Ovis aries: one gene and its partners. The protein of the gene in region 3 interacts with the protein of the main gene of each other region in a pairwise test. Links are inferred from orthologs where the notes say so. Each region holds a gene or a part of one and is shown on either strand. Other genes may lie near its edges.

The links.
Region 1: the proteins of PRKAA2 (region 3) and CCNB1IP1 interact in binary tests that used the Homo sapiens proteins (3 or more experiments, as listed by UniProt). The two-hybrid records come from large-scale screens. The link is inferred for Ovis aries from reciprocal best matches to the Homo sapiens genes PRKAA2 and CCNB1IP1.
Region 2: the proteins of PRKAA2 (region 3) and KIFC3 interact in binary tests that used the Homo sapiens proteins (3 or more experiments, as listed by UniProt). The two-hybrid records come from large-scale screens. The link is inferred for Ovis aries from reciprocal best matches to the Homo sapiens genes PRKAA2 and KIFC3.

Annotation. Positions count from the first base shown.
Region 1 is NC_056060.1:25,047,240-25,050,987, forward strand, and holds the start of CCNB1IP1 (E3 ubiquitin-protein ligase CCNB1IP1), read left to right. Parts: upstream 1-881; 5' UTR 882-1,245; intron 1,246-3,748. UniProt on the Homo sapiens protein: Ubiquitin E3 ligase that acts as a limiting factor for crossing-over during meiosis: required during zygonema to limit the colocalization of RNF212 with MutS-gamma-associated recombination sites and thereby establish early differentiation of crossover and non-crossover sites.
Region 2 is NC_056067.1:25,319,771-25,323,418, forward strand, and holds part of KIFC3 (kinesin-like protein KIFC3), read right to left. Parts: intron 3,432-3,648; coding exon 3,258-3,431; intron 2,778-3,257; coding exon 2,630-2,777; intron 2,545-2,629; coding exon 2,414-2,544; intron 1,262-2,413; coding exon 1,150-1,261; intron 1-1,149. UniProt on the Homo sapiens protein: Minus-end microtubule-dependent motor protein. Involved in apically targeted transport. Required for zonula adherens maintenance.
Region 3 is NC_056054.1:31,181,841-31,185,588, reverse strand, and holds the start of PRKAA2 (5'-AMP-activated protein kinase catalytic subunit alpha-2), read right to left. Parts: upstream 2,879-3,748; 5' UTR 2,837-2,878; coding exon 2,743-2,836; intron 1-2,742. UniProt on the Homo sapiens protein: Catalytic subunit of AMP-activated protein kinase (AMPK), an energy sensor protein kinase that plays a key role in regulating cellular energy metabolism.

The DNA of each region.
Region 1 (3,748 bases), on a different chromosome or scaffold from region 3:
TGCTTATTTAACTTATATGCAGAGTACATCATAGGAAATGTCGGGCTGGATGATTCACAACCTGGAATCAAGATTGCTGGGAGAAATACCAACAACCTCAGATATGCAGAAGATACCACTCTAATGGCAGAAAGCCAAGAGGAGCCTGGTAGGCTACAGTCCATGGCGGGGCGGGGGGGGGGGGGGGGGGGGGGGCCGTGTGGGGTCGCAAAAGAGACACTAGTTAGCGACCAAACAACATCAACAGTGCTATGAGCTTTACACATATTTAATTCTCACAACAACCCTGTTGTTAGGTAGGTATTATTGGCTGTATTTTACAGTTGAGAAAATTGAACTCTAGAAAAATAAGAGTAATTTATTCAAAGTCGCAGTGTATTGGTTTGCTAGGGCTACCATCACTAAAAACTACAGACTGGATTCCTCAAACAAGAAAAATTTATTTCCTCAAAATTTTGAAGGCTAGAAGCCCAAGATAAAGGTGATGGCAGCATTGGTTTCCCTAAGGCCTTTCTTCTTGGATTGCAGGTGACTGTCTTTTTCCGGTATCTTTCTTACTAAGCTTGTTAACTTGAATATTTCCCTGATGGTAAGTTCTAACTTGAGTAGATCTAGAATACTAACCCAAAAGAATGAAAATTGAAGTAGTCCATCTAAACTAGAATGTGTGTAAATACCTTGAATTAGTCCGTGCTAAGTATATTAACTCAAAAGGAAGCTTGGTTTAAAAAGTTTAAGAACAGTGCAAGTAGCATCTTTGGTCCTTAAAGAGACAGGTACCTGAAGGGTGTGGGGGTGGGGCAGGTTGCATCTTTCCAGCCTTTTAAGGTAAAGGAGGGAGGGAATCATCATTAGCCAATCAGGCCCTGAGGTCACTTCTCAAAGTCACTTCCCGTCTCTCCACTTTCTCTCTTTTCATTTTGGTGGTGGGCTGGTGAGTGTGCATTTAATCTTGATTCCTAATTGTTTTGAATTTCTCGTCAGTTTGAGCCACTGTATCCTTGTGACAGCCTTAATTTCCAGCTAGCCTTGGAGTGTTTGTGAGCTACTAAGAGATTAATTTCGGCTGTGTGGAAATTGGAGGAAGGCAGTGAAATGATCTGCCTGGCTTCTTTCCACGTGGGCCTCTGCAGGACCCAGTCTGCCTTCCTTTTCTGAGACAGGGTGACCTGGGAACAATAGACTCTGCTTCATGTGCTTAGTGTTTCTGCAAAATACCTGGATTCATTTTGCTTGGAAGAAAAGGTACTGTTATTTTCTCAATGCTGTTTTGACTTGTGTCTTTTAGCGAGAGGGTAGATCTTGGAAGAGAAGTTTAGACCAGTCAGCTTTAATTCTCCTGGGTCTGCAGGGCTCAGGTTTTTACTGGGCGTGTGGGAGCTGCATTGGATGTTGTTTTTGCCCCGGTCTGCTTCCCTGGTCAGAGTTTAAAGCGTCTGCCTCCAATGCGGGAGACCTGGGTTCGATCCCTGGGTCGGGAAGATCCCCTGGAGAAGGAAATGGCAATCCACTCCACTATTCTTGCCTGGAGAATCCCATGGATGGAGGAGCCTGGTAGGCTACAGTCCACAGGGTTGCAAAGAGTCGAACATGACTGAGCGACTTCATTTCACTTCACTTCACTTTGCTCAGAGCAGTTCATCTTTCTTGTTGGGAAAGACACTACAAACTCTGAAGTCACATGGTTTTAACAAGCTTCAGGAGGAGCTCCCAATTTTAATGTCAGCACTGTGGTGATGATACCCTCAAAAGCTTAGGATGTACTGAAAAAGATGAGGGCCTGAGCTTAGTGCAAGCCTAAATGAAATTCCATCACCACAGTTTACTCCTCCAGTGATCTTAGGTGAGTCAGTGAACGATTCTGAGGCTTAGCTTTTGAAGATCAAAGTATATGAAGTCCAAGCACTGGTGGATGTATAATAAATGTTACATACCTTCTAGAAATAAGCAGTAAATATATTTTGTGTATTATTTTTCTCCTAAAAAGTTTTGCCCAGTGACCTTGAGTATTATACATTAATATATGAGTTATCTTTACAGGTAGAGGGTGTTGAGCAAGTAAACTTGTATTTTACATTGTTAGGAAAAATGGAAATGTACTGGGGACTGTAAACATGCAAAATAAAAGAGGAAGACTGAATTCCTCCAAAGCTATTTATTTTAAAAAGTCTTAAAAGTCCCAGATCATGTCTTGTGAAACAACTAGTTTTTCAGTTAGAGGTTTCGTTGAGTGGGAGAAAAATTAGTTTTCTATGGAGATATGCTTTATCTTATTTTATATCTATTTTACATAATTTAATCTTAACAGAGTTAAGGAAAGGAAAGGAAATCTGAGGCTTAGAAAAGCTGCATAACTTGCCCCAGGTCACAACAATGGAGCTAGGAGTCAAATCTAGCTCTGTCCAACTTCATTATCTTAACCATTAAGCTAAGTTGCCTGCCACTTATTTAAACCTTGCTTGGATCATAATAAACAATGGAAAATTCTGAAAGAGATGGGAATACCAGACCACCTGATCTGCCTCTTGAGAAACCTATATGCAGGTCAGGAAGCAACAGTTAGGACTGGACATGGAACAACAGACTGGTTCCAAATAGGAAAAGGAGTACGTCAAGGCTGTATATTGTCACCCTGCTTATTTAACTTATAGGCAGAGTACATCATGAGAAAGGCTGGGCTGGCAGAAGCACAAGCTAGAATCAAGATTGCCGGGAGAAATATCAATAACCTCAGATATGCAGATGACACCACCCTTATGGCAGAAAGTGAAGAGGAACTAAAAATCCTCTTGATGAAAGTGAAAGAAGAGAGTGAAAAAGTTGGCTTAAAGCTCAACATTCAGGAAACGAAGATCATGGCATCTGGTCCCATCACTTCATGGGAAATAGATGGGGAAACAGTGGAAACAGTGTCAGACTTTATTTTTTTGGGCTCCAAAATCACTGCAGATGGTGATTGCAGCCATGAAATTAAAAAACGCTTACTCCTTGAAAGGAAAGTATGACCAACCTAGATAGCATATTCAAAAGCAGAGATATTACTTTGCCAACAAAGTTCTGTCTAGTCAAGGATATGGTTTTTCCAGTAGTCATGTATGGATGTGAGAGTTGGACTGTGAAGAAAGCTGAGCGTCAGAGAATTAATGCTTTTGACCTGTGGTGTTGGAGAAGACTTTCTGAGAGTCCCTTGGATTGCAAGGAGATCCAACCAGTCCATCCTAAAGGAGATCAGTCCTTGGTGTTCTTTGAAAGGAATGATGCTAAAGCTGAAACTCCAGTAGTTTGGCCACCTCATGTGAAGAGTTGACTCATTGGAAAAGACTCTGATGCTGGGAGGGATTGAGGGAAGGAGGAGAAGGGGATGACAGAGGATGAGATGGCTGGGTGGTATCACCGACTCAATGGACATGAGTCTGAGTGAACTCCAGGAGTTGGTGATGGACAGGGAGGCCTGGCGTGCTGCAATTCATGGGGTCACAAAGAGTTGGACATGACTGAGCAACTGAACTGAACTGAACTGTATACCTATAAAATGGAAAAGATAACATAGTACTTGTGAAATGATTTACTCTAAGGACAGTGCTTTATAAATTTTAAGGCAGAGTTATTATGAAATAGATAAAATATGAAGTTATTCCTTACTGCTGTTTTGAGCCAAAGCCCTCAGGTACTGTATTTTTTAATTTCATTTTTATTTTGCTCCACCAGTGATAGGACTAGGATTGGGTGAAATAGTATTCTCTTGGGA
Region 2 (3,648 bases), on a different chromosome or scaffold from region 3:
AAGCTGTTCTTAGTCATTCACACTATACTATGAATTCATGTGTCAATACATTTTTTGCTAAGCAAACCGACTGAGGGTGACAGCCTCACCTTGGGGACATAGAGGAAAGGTCAGTTTTCAGAGTTGAGACTTTGCACCTTGCACCCAGTTTGAGTGGGATACCCAAATGGACACCTCATCACACAACTAGACTTCAGTTTCCTCATACACACAGTGAGGGGCTTGGGGCCCACTAAGCCAAGGAGCTTGCTCTCTCATTCTAGAAGGGCACTGTGAATGCCAGGACAGAGTTTGGGAATCAGATGGGCTGACGGGACCAGGCAGAAGGTGGGCACAGGCAACAAGGCAGCCCAGGGGTTGACTGGGGCACAGATTCGATCACACCACCCGCCTTGCTTCAAGCCCTTAGAGGGGATCCCAGAGGCTTGAATGAAGAGAAAGCTCCCCATCACATCTAGCACGGCCCCACCTCCCTTCACCTGGCCACTCCAGCTCACAGTCCAGGTCTCAGCCCTGGTTCCACCTCCTTCAAGAAGCCCCCTCAGCACCCTCAACTGTCAGATATTTAGGAGCTCAGAGAACCCCTCCCCAGCCCAGGTAAAGGGGCACTGATGCAGTTCTCAGGGTGATTAATGATCACCATCTGCTCCCCCCCCCCACCGCCACTGAAGGGAGCACCATAAGGGCAAGGACGGGTTCTGTGGGGTCCACAGACATATCCCCAGTGTCTGGAAGAGCATGTGGCACAGGGCAGGTGCTCTCTGGACTGCTGGGCAGTGAACAGGTGCTCTCTCAAGCTTGAACCAAGCCCTACATCAGAATGACATTCTAGCCACCCACCGCCCAGTACTTCAATGCCCTGCTCCTCCAACACCTGGTGGGCTACCACAGGCACTAGGAAAGGCTTCAGAGTTGGACGGATCCAAGGTGGACCGTCTGTTTACTCGCCATGCAGTTCTGAGCAAATTCCCTGTGACATTTCTGTGCCTCTGTACCCCTATTTACAAAGAGGGGGTCACAACAGTGCCTCAAAATGACAGGGCACAGCTCCAAGGACTGGCACTGGAGGCCAAAGGGAAGGGCAGGAGCACCCCCGAGGCAGGTCAGGGCCCCCTCTGCTGGGCACCCCCCAACCCAGCCGGCAGTCACCTTTCAGCCGCACAAGCTCATTGTGGCACTTTTTACGCAGCTGCAGCTCCCGGCGGTACTTGCGCAGCAGCTCCTGGTTGTTGCTGTTGACCTCCTCGATGGCCTGGCCAATCTGGTGGGGGAAGGGCAGCGCCATCAGGTGGGCAGTTCCACCCACCTCACATGCCCAGCTGCCGCCCCCCACCCCCCACTGACAGCCTGCTCATCGCTGCCTGCCCTGGACTGGGCACCTGAGCTGAGCTGTCACACGTCAGATTTTCCCAGTAACCCTCTGGGTAGGTACTGCGACCAGACCCATTTTACAGAGCAAGAAACTGAGCCCCAAAGAAGCTAAGCCAATCTCAAGGTTGCCCTGCTGATGAGCAAAGAGCTGGGACTCAGCCCTCACTCCACAGGATTCAGTTGGACCCAAATCTCAGCTCTACTCTGAGGAGCTGGGAGACCAGAAGCAATTGGCTCAATGTCTTCAAGCCTCAATTTCCTCATCTGTAAAATGGGAATTCATAGGAGCTGGTGATAAAGCTTTCAAGTTCCATTCACAGGGAAAAGAAACAAGATGCAGGCCACACTCACACCTGTTCCCCTTTGCTGGGAGAAAGGGAAGTGTGTGTACATGCACACGCGTGTCAACAGTTTCCAGTATGCTCGGATGCCCTTCAGAGGACATGCTGGGAGAGGTTTCTTTTGGGGAGCAGGCTGGGTGGCAGAGAGAGGCCTTTCCTTTTCATCCGACGCCTATCTGTGAAGTGTGTACTTGCAACATGTCCATGTATTATTGACATGATTTTTTTTATTAAAGGAGAAGAACTATTTTCGATTCCCCAAATATATGTCTGTCCTGCAGAGCTGTCACACAGACTCAAGGAGCTGATGGCTATAAAAGGCTCGGCATGTAGGAAGCACTTTAGACACGTTGGTTATTCTCATACTGCACAAGTACAGCTTGAAAAAATTAAATTAAACCTAACAGATGTAAAGATATGTGTAGCATGTTTGAAATATAAAGATATGCGTAGCCCATATGGGATATAAAGATATATGTGACGTGTTTGCTTTACAGACTCATAACAAGACAAATATCCAAATACCTACCCCTAAATCAAACTGGTTTTCCAATGGTCTGAGGACAGCCATGTGTGTGGTAGGGAAGGGAGCTGCCGTCTGGGGGTTTGTCTGAGTTTGGGAAGGGCGTGGTGGGGGATGCTGTGTCCACCCAGGGGCTCCAGAGCCTCTCCTAGCCCCACCACCCAGGGCCTGCACTCACCTCGGCCTTGACGCTCTTGAGGGCCTCCTGCAGCAGCAGCGGGAAGCCGCGCACCTGACGCTTGAGCCCATTGTAGTCATTGGTCAGGGTCCGCAGCGCTGGCTGCAGCGTCAGCAGGTTGGTCCGGACGCCTGTGGGGACACAAAGGGGTGACAGGCGGATGGGGTGAAGGGCCATGGTGCAGGGAGCAGGCTAGGGCTCAGCCGGCCGGCTTACCTGCCAGGTTCTCGTGTACTGCCTTCATCTCCACCTGGGCTCTGGCGAAGGCCTCCTCGATGGCCCGGTTCTTGTCCTCCTCCAGGGACTGCATCTCTTCCAGCATCTGCCCGTGGGCCCTCTCTAGCTCCGACTCGTACATGGCAATCTGAAGCCAGGGTCAGGAGCTCAGTGGAATGCCCCATGGGAAGGCAAGATGCCCCACCCCTCACACACACACATATGCACAAGCAAGAGATAGGATGGCCATCTCTCTCCCCGAAAGGGCCGCCAGCTCCGTGCAGCTACTTCCCAGCATCAACCCAGCACCATCCAGGGTCCCACAGGCCCTGGGAAGCAAGGGAGAGGATTTCTTGTCAGTTATTATACAGACCAGGGTACCCTTCCAAGAGCGTGTGTGCCAGGCCCTGAGTCAATCTTGCAATGAGGTCAAGCCCCACCGGGAGCTGGGTTCTGCGATCAGACCATTTTACATATGAGCAGAAACTTGCCCTTGGTCACAACGGCCAGCAGGGAGAGGGGGACTGGAACACGTGTCTGTGGGACCCCAAGTGCTCAGCCTCTGCACTGTGCCACAGGGCGACCCCAGCGTCATGCCACCCCAACAGCCACGCGATGACCCACGCACCTGCGCCCGGAGCTGTGCGGTCAGCTGGTGCGAGCTCTGCAGCTGCTGCTCCATCTCCTTCAGCACCTGCCTCTGCATGGCCACCTGCTCCTGCAGGTGCTGGTTCCGGGCCTGTGACTCACTGAGGGCTTGCTTGGTCTTGGACGACTCTACCTCCACTGTCTTGATGACATACTGTGAGCGGGGGCAGATGGGCGGGCACACAGAGGTGTGTGAGTGCCTTGCCCTCACCCCGGGACCCTGAGGGGACCCTCAGGAGCATCCCACTAACAGCCCGCAGAAAAAAACTAGAGGAGCCCTGAGGTCTTGGCTTTCCAGAATGGTGCAAAGGCCTCCTGGAATCTTCTCATTTTCACGAGCCCAAGAGGAGCCTGGCTGTGGCCCAAGACTG
Region 3 (3,748 bases):
CAAAATGGTTGCACCATTCAGTAAAGTCACTAAAAATCACTGACTTGTCCTACACATAATACATTTAGGATGGGTGACTTTTAGGATATCTTAAATATGCTTGAAAAAAAGTTGTGTTTAAAAATAAGCGTGCTTTTGTTTGTAGTCCCTTAAAGAATTACAGTGGACCCTTGAACAACACTGGAGTTAGAGGCACTGGACCCCAGGAAGTTGAAAACTTGTGTATAACCTTATATTCCTCCCGCAGTATTCATGGTTTCACATTTTAGGATTCAACCAACCTTGACTGTATAATACTGTAGTATTTATTTAGAGGAAAAAAATTATCTGTTGTAAAAGTAGATCTCTGCAGTTCAGACTCATGGTGTTCAAGGGTCCACTGTAAATGAGTAACTTTAGACTGCTGCACTTATATAATTTTTATTAAGCAACTGTACTAATCCTAACTTTGGATGGGAGAGCACTAACTTTGGAGAGGTGTTCATACAGTGTTAGGAAATCTCCCCAGTTAGCTGCTCACTGGGAAGGAGTCTTCCAGGAAAAGGATTTCTCATAAATCCAAGTACCTTCTGTTGGTTTATATTTTAGGTCAGTTCAAGGATATATACAAAAAGAGATTTAAGTTGTCCTGTGACAATGGACCAAATGATCTATCTGATGGGTATTTTAGCCAATATTCAGGTTACACAATAATTTTTTTAAAAACAACAATTTTTAATGCAATTTGAAAAGGAACAGTATACATTATATAACTTGGAAAGTGTACATGCCTAGATGGTGAAGACTTGAGTGCGTAACATCAAAACACAATAGTCCTTAGTAATGTCACAGCATTAATCCAGTTCCTGAATCTTCATATATTCACTCTAAATATATTCTCTCCACTTACCACTTTATGAGGTCTTGCAAACCTAAGCCAGGAAGGACTTCACAGCCCTCACAGGACTTGAAAGAATTTTACAAACCTGAGGTCTTTATATAAACATACACCCTATCTGTAAGGCCATGCCTGACAATCTTACTGAAAACTGTGAACTGCACAAAACTCCGATTCACTTGTCTTCACAGCACTAAAAATACTACACACACACACACACACACACACACACAAATATATACAGTGATTACTGTCTTCCCCTACTTGAATATAAGCACCACAAAAGGAAAGATTTTAATGATTTTGTTCCTAGGGTGTCCCCATTACCTAGAACAGTGCCTGGCACACTGTAGGCACTCAGTAAGTGTTTACTGAACAAAAGAAAGGGTATCAGATGTGTGCAAGTAAATAAAAGCTGATCCCTACCATATGAATGAACGAGTCTCTTCTATCCACTTACAGCCTGGATTCAAGGTTAAAATAGGATTTTTGGACGAAGTGGAAGAGTAGTATTGATCTCTACACTACCATGTGTAAAACAGCTAGCTAGTGGGAAGCTAAGGTATGGCACAGAGAACGGCTGAGCGTTCTGTGATGACCTAGCAGAGTGGGAGGGAGGCTCAAGAAGGAGGGAATACATGTATACTTACAGCTGATTCACAATGTCATAGAGAAGAAACTAACACAAAATTGTAATTTACTATAATTTTTAAAACTTAAAATTTTTTCATTATGATTTTTTAAGGAAATAGAGGCCTCAATAAAATCCTCAAGCTGCCTACCCAACATTTTCTCAGCAAAATGAAAAAAGAAAAAAGCAACAACCAAAAGAAGTATTTTTAATAAGTTGGTTCTAGTTCTGGAGAGAGGACAAGTTAATTAATCTCACATGACTCTTAAGAAAAACAGGAAAGTTCAATACTTAACTAGTAACCAGTAAAAAAAAAAAAAAAAAAAAATCAAAGCAGCCTGTTTTTCTACACCCAAAATGGGATCCCATCACTTAGGAACACAGAGCTCAGCAGAGTACGTCTTAGCAATTCTGGCCTCAGCCCTACATCCTCAAGATCCAACTCCAAAGTCCCTTTTTCCTTTCCCTCCATCCTGGAAGCCTTCCTAGAACCATTTTACACACACAAGCAACCTTCAGACCTCCCAGTTCTAAGCCCTGACCCAACCCAGGTACATCCCAGCGTTTCCCAAGGCCAGCAGAAAGACCCACCCACCTCGCGCCCCGGGGATCCCCCGTAAACTACCAGCCCTACTAATCCAGAGTCAGGGAGCACGAAAGAATCCAGACAGCAGGACTTCCCAGCCTGGCCAAAATTGGAGGACATTTTAGACCTTTATCCCAGTTCTGCCAATTTCAGTGTGACCTTGAACACGTCCCTGCTAGGGGGTCCCCGTTTTCTCACGTTACAGGCGAAGATAACACCTGCAGCTGCTGTAAGGATTACAGGAGATCACACGTGAAGCACCTAACGGGACACCTGGCACGAAATGGGAACTCCACCATCAGGACCGTGGGTCATTCCTCAGGGTCCTTGCAGCCTCCCAGCTGAAAGGCATCTCGCCCAACAACCCAATCTCCGGGTTTCAGAGGGGGGCACTAAGGTCGGGCAGTAGAAGCGTGCTGGACGCCAGTCCCAGGACCTCGCGACGCCCCCGCCCGAGCCCCCTCGCCGGGACGCCGCCGTTGCCGCGGGGCGAAGCGGTACCCACTGCCTTCCCTCGGTCCCCAGGTTCCGCGCGGCCCGGGCGCGGCCGCTCCACCTGCCGCCAGGCCCCGCCACCCGCTGCCCGCTCGCGGCCCGGCACACCCGGACTCCGGGGCTCGGCCTCCCGCGAGGCGCGGCGTACTCAACTCTTCACTTTGCCGAAGGTGCCGACGCCCAGCGTGTCGCCCAGCACGTAGTGGCCGATCTTCACCCGCCCGTCGTGCTTCTGCTTCTCAGCCATGTTCGGCGCGCGCAGCCTCGCTCCGCCGCCGCGGGATCCTCTGCGCGGCCACCGCCGCCGCCTACCCACAGTGCAGCGGGCCCGCGGGGGGCGGGGGCCCGAGACTTGGGGACCAGGCGAGACGGGGCGGGGCGGGGCGGGGCGGGGGGAGGGGGGACGCGAGCAGGTGGGGGGCAGGGGCGGGGGCGCGCCGAGGCCCCTGGGCGGGCGTGAGGCCGGCGTGGGCCCGGGGCCAGGGCCCTGGGGGCGCAGTGGAGGGAGCGTGGGCGCTCGGTGCGGGGGAGGTCGGAGGCCGACAGGTGTGCGCGGAGCGGGGAGGGGGAAGGATGTCGCCTCGCTACCTGGAGGAGGGGCCCTGGGGTGGGAGCCGGGTTAAGGGGCCCTCTAGCAGAACCTGACGGTGCGAATGAGAGGGTGAGATTTGGGCCGAATCTTGGCGAGTGGAAAGCAATGGAAGTATTAATAGAACCTGGGGAAGAGAAACAGGCCTGAAGTGTGGGGAGAGAGGGGCGTGAAAAGCAGTGTGTGGGTCCGAGGGAAGTCAGGGCTGGCGGCAGTGGGGAAGGGCCTTGATCGAAGGTCAGTCGGAGGAGAGTCACAAGGAAGCTTTTGGAGTCACGCACTGTTTTCATACAGGTCACCAGGGCACAAACAAAAAAAGCCAACTCTGCTGGCTTCACTGATTCTCCTCTACGTTCTGTCTAATTCTCAGTTATGGAGGAGATACCCTCTCTAGAGCTCTCCGTTCTAACTAATTTGCACAAAGTTCACCAATCAGTCCCAATATTTGCTCAACTGTATTTTAGACATATAAATATATGGGCTTTCTAGGAGGCTCAGTGGTAAAGAATCCGCCTAGGAGACAAGGGTTTGATCCCTGGGTTGAGAAGATCCCAGGGAAAAGGAAATGGC